Diceros bicornis minor: one gene and its partner. The protein of the gene in region 2 purifies or fractionates together with the protein of the main gene of each other region. This does not show direct contact. Links are inferred from orthologs where the notes say so. Each region holds a gene or a part of one and is shown on either strand. Other genes may lie near its edges.

Region 1 (7,312 bases), on a different chromosome or scaffold from region 2:
GGAGGGGAGGAAGGGCCGGAGTGAGAGACCCCAGGCCCTAGAAGCGGGGTCACTGCTGGGCAAGGAATTTCAGGGTTTCCGCCACCCGGAGTGTGGTCTTGAAGGGGAGAGCCATGAACTCTGTATAGGCTTGTTCCTTTGGCCCTGTGTGGAGGGCACAACCGCAGGAGGGCTGGAGTGGGGCCTTCTGAGGGATAGGACCCAACACAGAGGCCCCTTTCCCAGGTCCACGGGTGGCTCTGCCCCGGGGCTGAGAGCCGGCCTGTGCTCAAGATGCCTCTTCCTTTTCTTATTGCCTTTGATTCCAGCCTGCCACGTGGGAAGCGACAACTCCCGGTTGTCGCTCTCCTTTCCCGCTGCTGTAACTAACGCCAGGGGAGAGGGAGCTGCTGTGTGATGAAGAGGGACCATTGTCAGCCTGAAGTTTAGCAACCCGTCTCTTCACCCCAGTCTCCCTTGATAGAGATGACCATCCCTGAGGCCACCCTAGAGGAAGAGGAGGGATGAAGGGTGTGTGTGTGTGTGTGTGTGTGTGTGTGTGTGTGTGTATTTGTCTGTTGGGGAGAAAGCGTTGATGCGTCTGGTGTTTGCGTATCTGAATCTGTGCCCATGAGTGTATATCCCTGAGGTGTGAGCACGGAAGGTTGTGTGTGTTTGTGTGTGTGGCTTGTGCAGATCTAAATCTCCTCAGCCTCTGTCTGGGGAAGGGACCCCACAGAGAAAGGGCCAAGTTTGAACAGACAACAGAAACTCTTACCTCCTTATATGGCCCAGAGGCCTCCTGGCGGGGAGGGGAAGTGAGATGAGCCTGGAGGGCACTGGGCTGTTGTTCACCTTCCCTCAGGAAAGCGCCTGCCCATCCCCCACCAGCTCCCCTCCCTCCCAACAGCCCCTCCTTGGACCCCTCTTTGCTAGTAGCTTCTGTCTCTGGGACAGCTTGGGATGGGCCACTGGGTGCTCTTTCCTTCTTTACTTGAGGCCCCAGAAATCTGCAATGTTGAATTAACCATATGTGATCTTGACGGCCCAAGGACGCTGCTTCCACTGAGCTCTGGGCAAGAGAAATGAGTTTAAATTGCAGCAATACAAATTGAGGCTAGACATCAGAAGGAACTTACCAGTGTTAGGATAAGGAGACAAGGACATTCATATATGGGAGGCTGGAGACTCTCCTTTCCTGGAGATTTGTCAAACAGAGAAATCCCTGCCTTCAAAGGCTTGGAGGCAGGGGACTGGGTAAGATGGTCTTGTGGCCTTTCCTTCAAGCTCTAGTCATAGAGGAGACTGCTGCACAGCGACTCTCATCCCCATCCCTAGGCACCTCCTTGCCCTGTGAGACCAAATCCCCTACACAGACAGCTGATTCTGGTCAACATCATTTTCTGTATCCTACAGATGAATCCTCAGTGCCTGGCAGGCACGTAGTAGGTGCTTCATAAATGTGCAGAAAACCCCTTGATCTGGGCGGAGAGACACAGCTGTCATCCCAATCTTTCCTACTGCTGCCGCGGTGCCTCCACCCAGTCCCAGCCTGAGCGCTTAGTTTGGGGCAAGCATGTTGCAGCATGTTCCAGGCTGACAAGCAGGGAACATTCTGGGGAGACACACACACACACACACACACACACACACACACACACACACATGCACATAGGCTTTATTCTGAAGCCTTATTTCTGCCCCTCCACCCGATCCAGGTTCCTCCACCCCTCTGCAGCCAACCAGCCCTGCCCTGCCCGTATGCGGAAGTCAGGAGAAAGGAAGGAGTTGAGCCAGGCTTGAGTCTGGGAAGTGTGTGTGTGTGTGTGTGTGTGTGTGTGTGTGTGTGTGTGTGTAGGCAGGGGAGGGTGTGGGAAGGTGGGAAGTGGGCAAGGGAAGGTGGGAAGTGGAAGAGGGAGGAAGTGAAACCCTGGCGACGGCAGCAGCCTAGGATTTCGAGCTCCTTTCCCCCCAAGCTGGGGGCTGGCCACTGCACAGTGTGGCAGGGTGCTGAGCAGGTGGGTGGGGCAGGGGTAAGGTATGGAGAAAGATACTGAGTAAGCTGGAGGAGGGGGAGGAAGGGAAATGAAGCACAGGGCAGTGGCACGTGGGATGGTACCTGGTTAGGGATGTTGATGTCTCCCTGCCCCCTCCAGGAAGACCTCTTGGATGGCACAAGCCTCAGAAGTGCGACTGTTTGGCCATCATTGCAACTGTTTAGCCATCATTGCTTTCTCTGGTGGGGAAAGCGGTCAAGGATGCTGCAGGGCTTCCTTCACCCAGCCCACCTGTGTGCGAGCTTTGGGGCTATAATGCTTCTTTGAGGGAGGACCCTTTCCCGAACAACCCCTCTCCCTACACACACACACACAGAGCGGCTGAGGTGACCTGTTTACACTTAGCCCTCTGGAGCCCTTTGAGGGTTGGGATCATTTTGATTTTCCATGTTACCAGTGCCTAACCCAGTGCCTTGCATACAGTTGGTGCTCTATTGATGAATGAATGTCTGTAGGACCCCTGGCACACTGTACTGCCACCAGCAGGCACTCATTTCATCAGCCACAGAAAGAGAAGACTCTTATCTTCTTAAGCTGCCTATTGGGAAGTTCTTTCTTTCTTTCTTTCTTTCTTTTTTTGTGAGGAAGATCAGCCCTGAGCTAACATCCATGCCAATCTTCCTCTTTTTTTTGCTGAGGAAGATCGGCCCTGAGCTAACATTTATTGCCAATCCTCCTCCTTTTTTTTTTTTTTTCCTTTTCTCCCCAAAGCCCCAGTAGATAGTTGTATGTTATAGTTGCACATCCTGCCAGTTGCTGTATGTGGGACGTGGCCTCAGCATGGCCGGAGAAGCAGTGTGTCGGTGCGCACCTGGGATCCGAACCCGGGCCGCCAGTAGTGGAGCACGCGCACTTAACCGCTAAGCCACGGGGCCGGCCCCGGACGTTCTTTCTGATAACTAACCCAGACTCTTCCACTACTGAGGGGCCTGCTGCCCCATTTCTTTTAGGCAGTGTTGATTTCCTTGCTGCCTGATTTCTTCCAAACCCACCAATACTTTCTCAGTCTTTGTCCCTTTCACAGGGATTTCTCTGTTTGACAAATCTCCAGGAAAGGAGAGTCTCCAGCCTCCCATATATGAATGTCCTTGTCTCCTTATCCTAACACTGGTAAGTTCCTTCTGATGTCTAGCCTCAATTTGTCCCTTTGTCCCAAATCACTACTCTTCTGTCTCTCCCCGGAATTTGTTTTTGCCTTTTCCCCGGCCCCTCCCCACTGCTTTGACATTTTATGTCGGTGCTATATTCCACCAGGAGAACATGTAGTTTGGTGAGCCTTGAAATGAGAAGAAAGGGGTTCTAGTTTAGGATGTGCCACTTTCTAGTTTTGTGACCTCTCTGAACCTCAGTTTCCTCATCTTTGAAATGACAATCATTTTGTTGTCCTAACAATTTTTCAGAACTGTCACGAGAATTAAAAAAAAAGTCATTAATTTAAATTGTAACATTTAGCAATTGTCCAAGTGATTTCACAAACTTTACTTCATTTCATCCCCACATACTCCCTTGAGAGAGAGATATAGCCAATGTACCCATTTTACAGAGGAGGAGAAACAGGGTGAGATGAAGTAACTTGCCTAAGATCATATAGCTCCTAAGTGGCAGAACCCAAACTCAGGCCTTCTGATTCTAAATCTCAGGAGCATTCCATCTTTCAGGAAAAAATTCCCAAACCAGCTAATAGCCTATGAAGTGCTATACAAACATCTTATTACCACTTTGTGGCAAGGGTGAATAAGCCCAAAGAAGCATTATTCCTGACGCTGAGCTGGCTGGCTGGTGAAAGCGTCTGTCCTTTCCCATGGCGCCTCCTGACTCACCTGTTGGACAGGTAGGGGGAAGGGGAGAGTAATGAGTCTTACCTGCTCAGAGCTAGGGTGGGGCAAGACACACCCCATCCCTCCCATTGGTTCTTTCCTTAGTCTTACTGACGACACCTTGCCCAATCAGGAGGAAGTAACCTCCTATCTGCCAATAGGTGCGGAGTTAGGATGGAACCTCAAGTTGGAGGCCGTCCCCAGAGCCGACTGGCAGTCTCTGGTGCCAATGGCCAGAGGATAAACAGAGGTGGCGATGGAAGAGAACTGGGCGCGAGGCTCCGCCCCTCGATGGGACAGTCAAGCGAGGCAGCCAGTGAGCCCGCATCAGCGGGTGGGCGTCTCCCTCAGGGGCGGAGCTTCGAGGGGGCGAGAGGCGTGGCTTGGCTGTCAGGTCCCTTCGCCTTTTGTTCGGTTACTGAGTTGCTGCCTTGGCCAGAGTCCGGAGCAGCCGCCGCCCGAGCGCGCCGACCTCAGTTCGCCGCCCGCGCCGGCTCCCATCCCGGCCCGACCCCTGCCCAGCCCGGCCAGGCTCCACACGCAGGTGCGGACGATCGGGGCAGGTAGCGCTGGGGCGAGAGAAGGGCGGCGAGCGGCCGAGAGAGGCCAACCCCCGCCGTCTCAGGGCAGGTGAGGGCGGGTGTCAGGGAGCGCCTCCCTGCACCGGCGGCAGGGGGCGCGCTGGGGTCCTGGGCGCGGCGGCTAAAGGGGCGCGAGGTTCGGGCCGGGTGCGCTGAGGGGCTGCGTGAGCCGGAGATCTGGGAAGGGTGGAGAGGGATCAGGGCAGGTGTCTCCGGGGTCGCGCCTCCGCCGGGGCCGCGGAGCCCGCCCGACGCCGCGTCCCTGACTCTCACCCTGACTCTTGCGGGGGAGACTTTGACCTGCTCCGCCTGCGTCCCAGGGCTCACTCTGTAGTCAGGAATTTACTGTTTGAAAACTTGCTGCCGCTGGTCTCTTTGGGGCCACCCTCACCCCACCTCACGCGTCATCCTCGCTTTCCCTCCCTCCCTACTCCCCCAGGCCTGGGTGGGGCCCTATTGTCTGCGCCCGGCTTGCCCAACTGTGGGGCCGAACGCACATTTTCCAAGCGACGCGGGCCCCACCTGCCGAGCAGGTGAGCACACGGAGTCCAGAGGCTCTGCCCTCCAACTCCCGGAGCTTCGTCGGTTCTGTACCTGTGGCGCCTCCCTCCGCTCTGGTGGGTGCCGGGCTGTGGCTCCGCCAGGGGTGCTGGGATGGGATGAGAGTGGGACTGGTGCAGGGCCCGGCTCCGCGCCCAGCTGGGGTCTGGCACCAGTGGCTCGGACAGGGGTCTGGGCAGAGGGGTCGTGCATGGGTAGAGAATTCACTGGCCCAGTTTCCAGTAGATGCCGCTTCCAGAGTGTTGATATGGGAACCGGACCATTCTTCTTCTCTATCCTCTTATTGTCGGAAAAAGCACCCAAAACAAACTTTCCAGGAGGAAGTATTCACAGCAGCTTTCTCTGGGGGTTTTCCTGCCTCCTTACCCAGGGCGTCCCCCCAGGCTTACGGGGTCCATCTTGAGCAAAGCCCCCTCCCCCAGCCGGCCAGGCTGAACCAGGGCCAGTGCCTGCGCTGTGACCCTGCCTCCCCGCCCCCACTTCCATCCTGTTTGCTGGGCCCCTGGGGCCTGAGGTGGGGGCCGGGGTGGGGGGGGTGGGCCGAAAGGGGAAGCAGCTTCTTCCTTCTCTTCCTGCCTCCGGGGACCACCACACCCCCTCGCTTGAGGCCTGCGCAAGTGGCTTTCTCCCCAGCTCTGCCCCCCTCCCCAGGAATGGGGGTGGGGCAGGGCCGGGCCAAACAGACGGGGGTGGGGGGAGCGATTGTTCTTTTTTTTTTTCTCTACCCCATCCCCCACATTGTTTTGCTGGCTGGCAATTGAGGCCTAAGAGCAAAGAGCAATGTTGCTTGATTTCCATTTGCCTTCTGGATTTTGAAGGTGCATTCCTTCTGGAGGCTTTGCAGTCCATTCCCCACCCACCCCCTTTCCTGAGAGTTTGATTGGGAAAGTTGGGACAGGAGGAAGGATTCTGGGGGGAAGGTTTCAGGCAGAGCTGCATTAGCCACCCCCACCCCCCCCATTTCTTGAGAGCCCCTTCCCTGGCCAGAGTTGGGGATCTCCACCAGGCTTTCACACAGGTTTTAAGAAATCTGAAGTGTGGTCTTTTTGCAGAGATTTGGAGCCCAGCCTCCTTGAGGAACAGAGGGGGAATGTAGGAGCCAGGTTCTCCCTGAGTCCTGGGGTGAAGGGAAGACTTGGGGGGAAATTGGGGCTGCTTGCCCTGACTCACTTGGGAAGACCCTGTGGCCTCTTTGGTGGTTGGAGATGGGAGAGTGGGGGCAAAGGTCAGCCCCACTCCTATGATGTGCCCCTGGGCAGGGATCAGGCCCTACTCTGGGTTAGGGGGAGACTGAGGAGAGAACCCCCTCCCTCTTCTGCTCTAGTGGGTGGGGTACCTCTGGGGAGCCACAAGGGTATGGAGTTTGGGCAAAAATAACCTGTTTTCCCTCCTCTGTGCCAAAGTGGAGGAGGGGAAGGCATTGTAATTACATTGGTTAAATGATTAGTTTAGCTAATCTGGTTTGTGGCTGTGATGAAAAGACAATATTGAGGAAGCATTGCTAGGAGGTGCCTGGTGAAAGCTGGCTGCTTACTGGACAGGAGGGAGAAGGGAAAAAAAGGCAGGATCCAATTAGTCATTCCTTGCTAGATCAAGCCCCAGCTTGGGTGACTTGAGCCCTCTCCACCCCCTCCACCCTGCCCCACCCCTGCACCCCAGCTCCACCCCATTCCCTCTGGACCTTCTGCTTGGGCTGCTGGGGCTAAGGCTTTGAGAAGGCAGTGTGTGGGAATGGAGGAGATCAGGCTAGGGCTGGCAGCCATGGGACAGGTAGATGTGGGGGTGGGAGGGTGGTGGTGGTAAGGGGGCATCTCTCCCTGACCTGGGAGGGGTTGGGCAGAGGAGCCACCTTAGAATGAGATGGGGCAATTGACTCGCCTACTGAAGGGCTGTTTTTGTGGAGAGATGTTACAGTGGGGCAGTTCTGAACACTGCGATTTCGGCTTAGACTGAGCTGGGTTTGAATCCCAGCTCTGTCAGTCATTACCTGTGTGGCCTTGGTCAAGTCACTTCACCTCTCCAAGCCTCAGTGACCTCCTTGGCAGAATGGGAATAATAATACCTACCTACTCAGTAGATACTTGACACATGGTCACTTAAAAGGTGAGGGAGGACTTTACAGATACCAAGTACTTTCATTGACTGTTCTCACTTAATCCTTGTGGCTATCCCTAGAGGCGGGTGTCCTAACCCCATTCTACAGGTGAGGAAATTGAAGTTAAGTAACTTGCCCAAGGTTGCACAGCAAGACCCAAGCAGAGCCAAGACTGGTGTTTGGGTCCTCTGGCTCCAAACCTAGAGCTCATCCTGCTGTATC
Region 2 (7,273 bases):
GTGAGGGGGATCAGGCTGGGGCACCAGGGACAGAGCATGGGCCTGTCCTGGCTCCTCAAGGGCCCTTCCCACCCTCTGGCAGGAGAAGGCAGAGTTAATCCTGTTGGAGAAGGAAAGTCTGAGCCTTTGTTTGTTCATTCCACAAACGGTGATCGAATGTGCTGGATCCCGCTCAGAGGCCGCCTCGGGACGGTTATCCTTCCAGCAGGTCGCTCCCCTTGCTCCAGCATCATCTGGCTTCCTGGCTGCTGGATGCCCCCTCAGCACACAAACACGCCACCACAGCCTCAAAAAGACAACAAAAAGCCTCCCATGTCTCTGCTCCCACCACTGCAAGTCTTGGGGAAGGAGCTGTGATCGCGTGTGCCTCTACTCGCCCATGCCTCCTGCTCTAGCCCGGGCCCTCTAATCCACCCTGTCCGCTCCTCTCCATCTAACCTGCACTGCTCACAGTCATCCATGACCTCCGTCCTCCAAACCCAGCAGTCGAGTCTCAGCCCTCGCTTTTCCCAGGATGACCCAGCTGACACCCCACTGTGCTGGCCCCATGGCCTCAGGGGCCAGCCCTAAGTGTCCCCCCCAACCCCCCCCAACCTCATCTCCAGGCCACCCGTCTCCACCTGTCCCCAACCCTGTCTCCACCCCATCTCCACCTGTCCCCACCTGTCTCCACCCCTGTCTCCACCTGTACCCACCCCTGTCTCCACCCTGTCTCCACCTGTCCCCACCCGTCTCCACCCCGTCTCCACCCCTGTCTCCACCTGTACCCACCCGTCTCCACCCGTCTCCACCCCTGTCTCCACCTGTACCCACCCGTCTCCACCTGTAACCACCCCTCTCCACCCGTCTCCACCTGTACCCACCCGTCTCCACCCGTCTCCACCTGTACCCACCCGTCTCCACCCCTGTCTCCACCTGTACCCACCCGTCTCCACCCGTCTCCACCTGTAACCACCCCTCTCCACCCGTCTCCACCCCTGTCTCCACCTGTACCCACCCGTCTCCACCCCTGTCTCCACCTGTCTCCACCCGTCTCCACCCGTCTCCACCTGTAACCACCCCTCTCCACCCCTGTCTCCACCTGTACCCACCCGTCTCCACCCGTCTCCACCCCTGTCTCCACCTGTACCCACCCGTCTCCACCTGTAACCACCCCTCTCCACCCGTCTCCACCTGTACCCACCCGTCTCCACCCGTCTCCACCCCTGTCTCCACCTGTACCCACCCGTCTCCACCTGTAACCACCCCTCTCCACCCGTCTCCACCTGTACCCACCCGTCTCCACCCCTGTCTCCACCTGTACCCACCCGTCTCCACCCGTCTCCACCTGTACCCACCCGTCTCCACCCGTCTCCACCTGTACCCACCCGTCTCCACCCCTGTCTCCACCTGTACCCACCCGTCTCCACCCGTCTCCACCTGTAACCACCCCTCTCCACCCGTCTCCACCTGTACCCACCCGTCTCCACCCGTCTCCACCCCTGTCTCCACCTGTCCCCACTCCTGTCTCCACCCTGTCTCCACCTGTACCCACCCGTCTCCACCCGTCTCCACCTGTACCCACCCGTCTCCACCCCTGTCTCCACCTGTACCCACCCGTCTCCACCCGTCTCCACCTGTAACCACCCCTCTCCACCCGTCTCCACCCCTGTCTCCACCTGTACCCACCCGTCTCCACCCCTGTCTCCACCTGTCTCCACCCGTCTCCACCCGTCTCCACCTGTAACCACCCCTCTCCACCCCTGTCTCCACCTGTACCCACCCGTCTCCACCCGTCTCCACCCCTGTCTCCACCTGTACCCACCCGTCTCCACCTGTAACCACCCCTCTCCACCCGTCTCCACCTGTACCCACCCGTCTCCACCCGTCTCCACCCCTGTCTCCACCTGTACCCACCCGTCTCCACCTGTAACCACCCCTCTCCACCCGTCTCCACCTGTACCCACCCGTCTCCACCCCTGTCTCCACCTGTACCCACCCGTCTCCACCCGTCTCCACCTGTACCCACCCGTCTCCACCCGTCTCCACCTGTACCCACCCGTCTCCACCCCTGTCTCCACCTGTACCCACCCGTCTCCACCCGTCTCCACCTGTAACCACCCCTCTCCACCCGTCTCCACCTGTACCCACCCGTCTCCACCCCTGTCTCCACCTGTACCCACCCGTCTCCACCCGTCTCCACCTGTACCCACCCGTCTCCACCCGTCTCCACCTGTACCCACCCGTCTCCACCCCTGTCTCCACCTGTACCCACCCGTCTCCACCCGTCTCCACCTGTAACCACCCCTCTCCACCCGTCTCCACCTGTACCCACCCGTCTCCACCCCTGTCTCCACCTGTACCCACCCGTCTCCACCCGTCTCCACCTGTACCCACCCGTCTCCACCCGTCTCCACCTGTAACCACCCGTCTCCACCCCTGTCTCCACCTGTACCCACCCGTCTCCACCCGTCTCCACCTGTAACCACCCCTCTCCACCCGTCTCCACCCCTGTCTCCACCTGTACCCACCCGTCTCCACCCGTCTCCACCTGTCCCCACCCGTCTCCACCCCTGTCTCCACCTGTCCCCACCCCGTCTCCACCCGTCTCCACCTGTCCCCACCCCTGTCTCCACCTGTCCCCACCCCGTCTCCACCCGTCTCCACCCGTCTCCACCCCTGTCTCCACCTGTACCCACCCGTCTCCACCCGTCTCCACCTGTCCCCACCCGTCTCCACCCCTGTCTCCACCTGTCCCCACCCCGTCTCCACCCGTCTCCACCTGTCCCCACCCCTGTCTCCACCTGTCCCCACCCCTGTCTCCACCTGTCCCCACCCCTGTCTCCACCCCTGTATCCAACTGTATCCACCCCTGTCTCCACCAGTCTCCAACTGTATCCACCCCATCTCCAACTGTAGCCACCCCTGTCTTCAACTGTAGCCACCCGTCTCCAGCTGCCAACCTGACATCGCCACTGGGTTGTGTAAGGGCCATCTCAACATCAACGTGCCCCAAACAGAGAAATCTTTATCTCCCCCTCCCCAAAAATATTCTTCCATCCCATTCCCCCTCTCCACACTAGTGTCCACTGACTTACTGAGGGCCCCTGGGCAAGGCCTCTCCCTCTCAGGTCTCTGCCCAGCTGTACAACGGAACAGGTTCGGGACTTCCCAGCCATTCATTCATCCACGGAAACAGAGGGGCAACTAGTCAAAGGACAGACTCCCACTGCCTGCCCTGGGAGACTCCACATCCCTCGGCCTGGGGTGGGGCCCCGGGATCCGCAGTTCATAAAAGCTCCTCAGGACTCTCGTGACTCACAGAATTTGAGCCCCTCCCCCGCAGCATCTTGGTTCTGACGGGCTCTGATCCGGCCTTCAGCTTCACTATCTTTCATGTCCCTCTTCGACTCCCGTTTACCACAATAGCCATGTGAGGTTCAGGCTACGACTTTCCACATTTTACAGATGAGGAAACTGAGGCTCAGGGTGGACATGACTGGCTCATAGTCACATCAGAAGCAGAGCCAGGGCGCTTGACTCCACCTGATTTTTCTAAACCCAAACGACCCCCCAAAGCCCAGTCTGGTGCCTTAGAGCTGGAACCCACGCCCCCTCACTGGGAAGAGGTCGATCCAACTCACAGAGCCAAGAGCTGTGGTCTGTGTCCCACCTCCCACCCACTCCACCCCCGACGCCCTGAAGCCTCCCCATCCCCTGCAAAGTCGGCCCCACCCCAGCATGTCATGGGGTCACCTGGGAAAATCTGGCTCTGGGCCTAGGCTGACCCAGGCTGGATTTTTGGCTCTGCTACGCCCCAGCTGGGTGGACGAGCATCTTCAACTTGCTGAGTCTCAGTGTCCTGAGCTTTATTATAAAATGGGGGTGATGACCCCTGCCCTCGGGGTTACAGGGAGGGTGAACTAAGGCCCTAGGCAGGTGCTGGGCTCAGGACGCCAGAGCTGAGGCCCGGGCCGGGTCCAGGGCTAGGCCTCTGTGAGGTCAGCCTGGCTGGGCCGAGGCAGCCGCCCACTGTGGGGCCTGCCTATCTGCAGCCAGCCCGGCCCTCACAAAGGAACAATAACAGGAAACCATCCCGGGGGAAGTGGGCCAGGGCCAGCTGGAAAACCTGAAGGGGCGGCGGCCAGGCCTCCCTTGCAGGCCAGGCGTGGCTCCCCTCGAGAGCTGTCGGCAGAGCCCCAGAGAGCTCCGGAGCACACTCGGCCCCAGGCAGGCAGGCAGACGAACGGAGACACCTCTCAGCCCACGGGCACGGTGAGTGAGGGCTCCCTGCACCGCGCTCCACCCAGACCCATCGCCATGTGCCCGGGACCGGAAGGTCCTCGGCTTCCCCATCTTAGAATGGTGGTGGTCGGGGTCTCAGGAAGATCCACTCCTCGGGCCAGACTCGGCCTCCTCCTGGTTCAGAGCAGGGCTGGTGCACCCCGTGGAGGCACCGGCCACGAACAGGTGTTCTCAGGGCTGAGGGAGGGGGTGAGGACTCGGCTCTCCCACATGTAGACTCTCCAACTCGGTGTGACTCGAGGGCCCACTGGCTTCCATCGGTGCCAGGCTCAGAGAGGGCAGGATTCTACCCGAGTCGCCCAGCACACTGGGGCGGAGGACTGGCACCCAGGCCTAGGCTCCCCCTCGGTGCCCCTTCCCCGTGGGAAAGGATTAGCCAAGGCCTGGCATCATCCCCTCCCCCAAGGCTCTGGGATTGGGAGAGGAGCTCAGCCCCCCTCCGTTAGCCAGTGCCCCCACTTTCAGAACAGGCAAGCTGAGGCTCAGCTCTGGGCACCTGAGGTCCGGCCTACGGACTCCCCTTCCCGCCCTGCCCCAGACACACAGGACGGCTACCAGCTGTGGAGCCGTGGTCGGGAAAGCGGCCCACCCTTCCCCCCAACACCCAGATAACCGAAGGCTGGGCCCAAGGGACCCCGCAGCCCTCATATTTTAGGGAAGTCTCCCCCAAAAGACTTGAAGGCAGGCGGTGTAGGGTGAGAGCCCAGCCTGGAGACCGTGGTCCTGGCGCAGAGCCCAGCCCCACCACTCGCTTCCTGTGTGACTTGGGGAAAACTCTCCAGTGTCTCCGAACCTCAGTTTGCTTGTCTGAACAATGGACATAGCGAGTCTCTGCAATTTACTGTGGGAACTGGAGCTGATGCGCATAGGAGGCTCTTAACCAAAGGGGCTCATTATGTTATCCTACCAACAACCCAGTGAGTGGGACAGATCCTTTCTCCGCCTCTAGTGGAGGCGGCTGAGCTTCAGAGAAGGTAAGGAAGAGCTGGAGTGGGGAGCTTGTACCCCAGAGCCCAGGCTCCTTCCAGCATCACGCAGCTTCTCCATGCCTCAGCCTTCTCATCTGGGAAATGGAGGAAACGGTCTTTTCATGAGTCACCTGAAGGAGGCAGTGTACACACCTGGCACCGGGAATGGCTCATAGCAGGGGAGTCTTCGAGAAATCATGGCTGAATTTACCTGCCACCCCAGAGCTGACCGTGGCTATGAGTGTCATAAAGGTTTTGACCCCTGAGGTCGGTGAGTCCCCAGCAGGTGAGGCGGAGGGGGTGCAAGTGAGGGGCTATCGACTCAGCTCTTCCTCTGGCCAGCACTTTGGGTAGCTACTCTGCACCAAGCACTGTGCTTGTTCTCCACACCCCTCGATGGACGTTTCTGCCATGGGTGGTGGGCAGATAGGATCCTGACAGGAAAGAAGGGCATTCTAGGGGAGGCAGGAACCCTGGGCAGCTCGGAGGTTTTGGGAAGGCTGTGGCCAGAGGGTTTTTTAGAGCCAGGAGCGCCAGGAGGGCTAGTGATGCTGGAGGCCCTGAGTGCCAGGCCCAGGAGCGCTGGTTCATCTTCAGGCGATGGGGGGCAGTGGGACTGTCCCCCGTCTGGCCTGAGTCCAGCCATCTTTGGGCCCCAGCCTGGAGGGCAGCAGGTGACCTCCAAGGGGCCCAGGCAGCCCTGCCAATTCCGGCTTACTATGGTGAGGGCAGAGGGGTGGCATCCCCCGGCCTTGAAGAGGTTAAGCTGCCCACCATGCAGGCTTGACCTGAGCAATTGTGCTGCTGAACAAGAGCCGGACGTGGGGGCAGGAAGTCAGAGGGGGCTAGGCTTATTTTCTCCCGAAGTTGGATGACTCACAGCTCTGCTGCTGCCTCTGGGACACAAGGTAGACACTGGCCACCAGCTAGGGAAAAACCTTGGGCCACTTGCCCATGTGGACCCATCCCTGCTACATCCGTCACCTCTCTGCACTCCCATGGCAGCCTTGAAGCTACTAAAAGAATTTCCATTTCACAGATGGGACCACAGAGGCCGAGAGAGGCTGAGCAGCCAGTCCAAGGTTACAGTTAGCACAAGGTGGAAGCAGGATATGAGTGAGGCCAGCGCCTCTGACCTCACGGCCCCCGCCACGCTCCATAGCGAAGCTCAGAGAGGGGATAAGTGGAGGAAGATTGAACCTGGCCGTTCAGCCACAGTTGGCTGACAGTTCAAGCCACAGAAGCAGGTATCAGGACAAGCCAGGAGGCCCAATGACCCTGGGGAAGGAATGTTCCAGGAGACAAGTCCTGCCCTCGGGAGCTTGGCTTCTAGCTGGAGAGCTACTGAAAAGCCCATCCTAACCCAGGTCTAAGCTGATGTTGGGTGGAGAAATCATAGAAGGCTTCCTGGAAGAAGAGCAGGAGCCCCAGAGGAAGCTGGGAGGTCTTGGGGAGCCCCTCTGCTCTCTGAGCCTCAGTCTTCTCATCTCTCTAGGGCAGGGAATGGACCTCATTCAGGGACCTCCAGATTGTTTGTCTTGGGCCACAGCGTAACAGTCAGATCCTGGCGGGCGCAGATACGAGGAGGAGGAGGAAGCAGGGCCCATGGGGCCAGGCCAGGCAGGCAGTGAATGAGATTTCCTTCTGGAGAGGCACAGAGGGGAGCAGGAGGTGGGGCCAGGGCAGAACCAGGAAATGAGGCCAGGTGTGAGTCGGCCAGTCGAGCCCACAGCCACCAGGCTGACGAGGGTGAGTGGATGTGGGTCAACAGACCCGCACACTTACTGAGCACCTACTGTGTGCCAGCTTCACCCCCTTGACCTCATTTAATCCTCCTGACTAGGAAGGCAGCTACGGTTGATGAGGAAGCTGGGGCCCACAGAGGGCAAGGGATGGGCCTAAGGCCACACAGCTCCTATGCAGCTGAGCAGGTTCAAACAGGTAGGCCTGTAGGGTTCATTCTATTGCCCCCACTGACTGCCTCACAGCCCCCATCAGAGTAGGGAAGCCCAGAGAAGGCT

What was found. Proteins that work in one complex are often made in the same cells at the same time.
Region 1: the proteins of CDH5 (region 2) and JUP purify together in Homo sapiens (affinity purification with western blotting; 3 studies listed by BioGRID and IntAct, with this or other methods). This does not show direct contact. The link is inferred for Diceros bicornis minor from reciprocal best matches to the Homo sapiens genes CDH5 and JUP.

What each region holds. Positions count from the first base shown.
Region 1 is NC_080757.1:41,065,606-41,072,917, reverse strand, and holds the start of JUP (junction plakoglobin), read left to right. Parts: upstream 1-4,290; 5' UTR 4,291-4,397; intron 4,398-4,404; exon of another isoform or gene 4,405-4,483; intron 4,484-7,312. UniProt on the Homo sapiens protein: Common junctional plaque protein. The membrane-associated plaques are architectural elements in an important strategic position to influence the arrangement and function of both the cytoskeleton and the cells within the tissue.
Region 2 is NC_080771.1:18,403,226-18,410,498, forward strand, and holds the start of CDH5 (cadherin-5), read left to right. Parts: upstream 1-4,202; 5' UTR 4,203-4,254; intron 4,255-7,273. UniProt on the Homo sapiens protein: Cadherins are calcium-dependent cell adhesion proteins. They preferentially interact with themselves in a homophilic manner in connecting cells; cadherins may thus contribute to the sorting of heterogeneous cell types.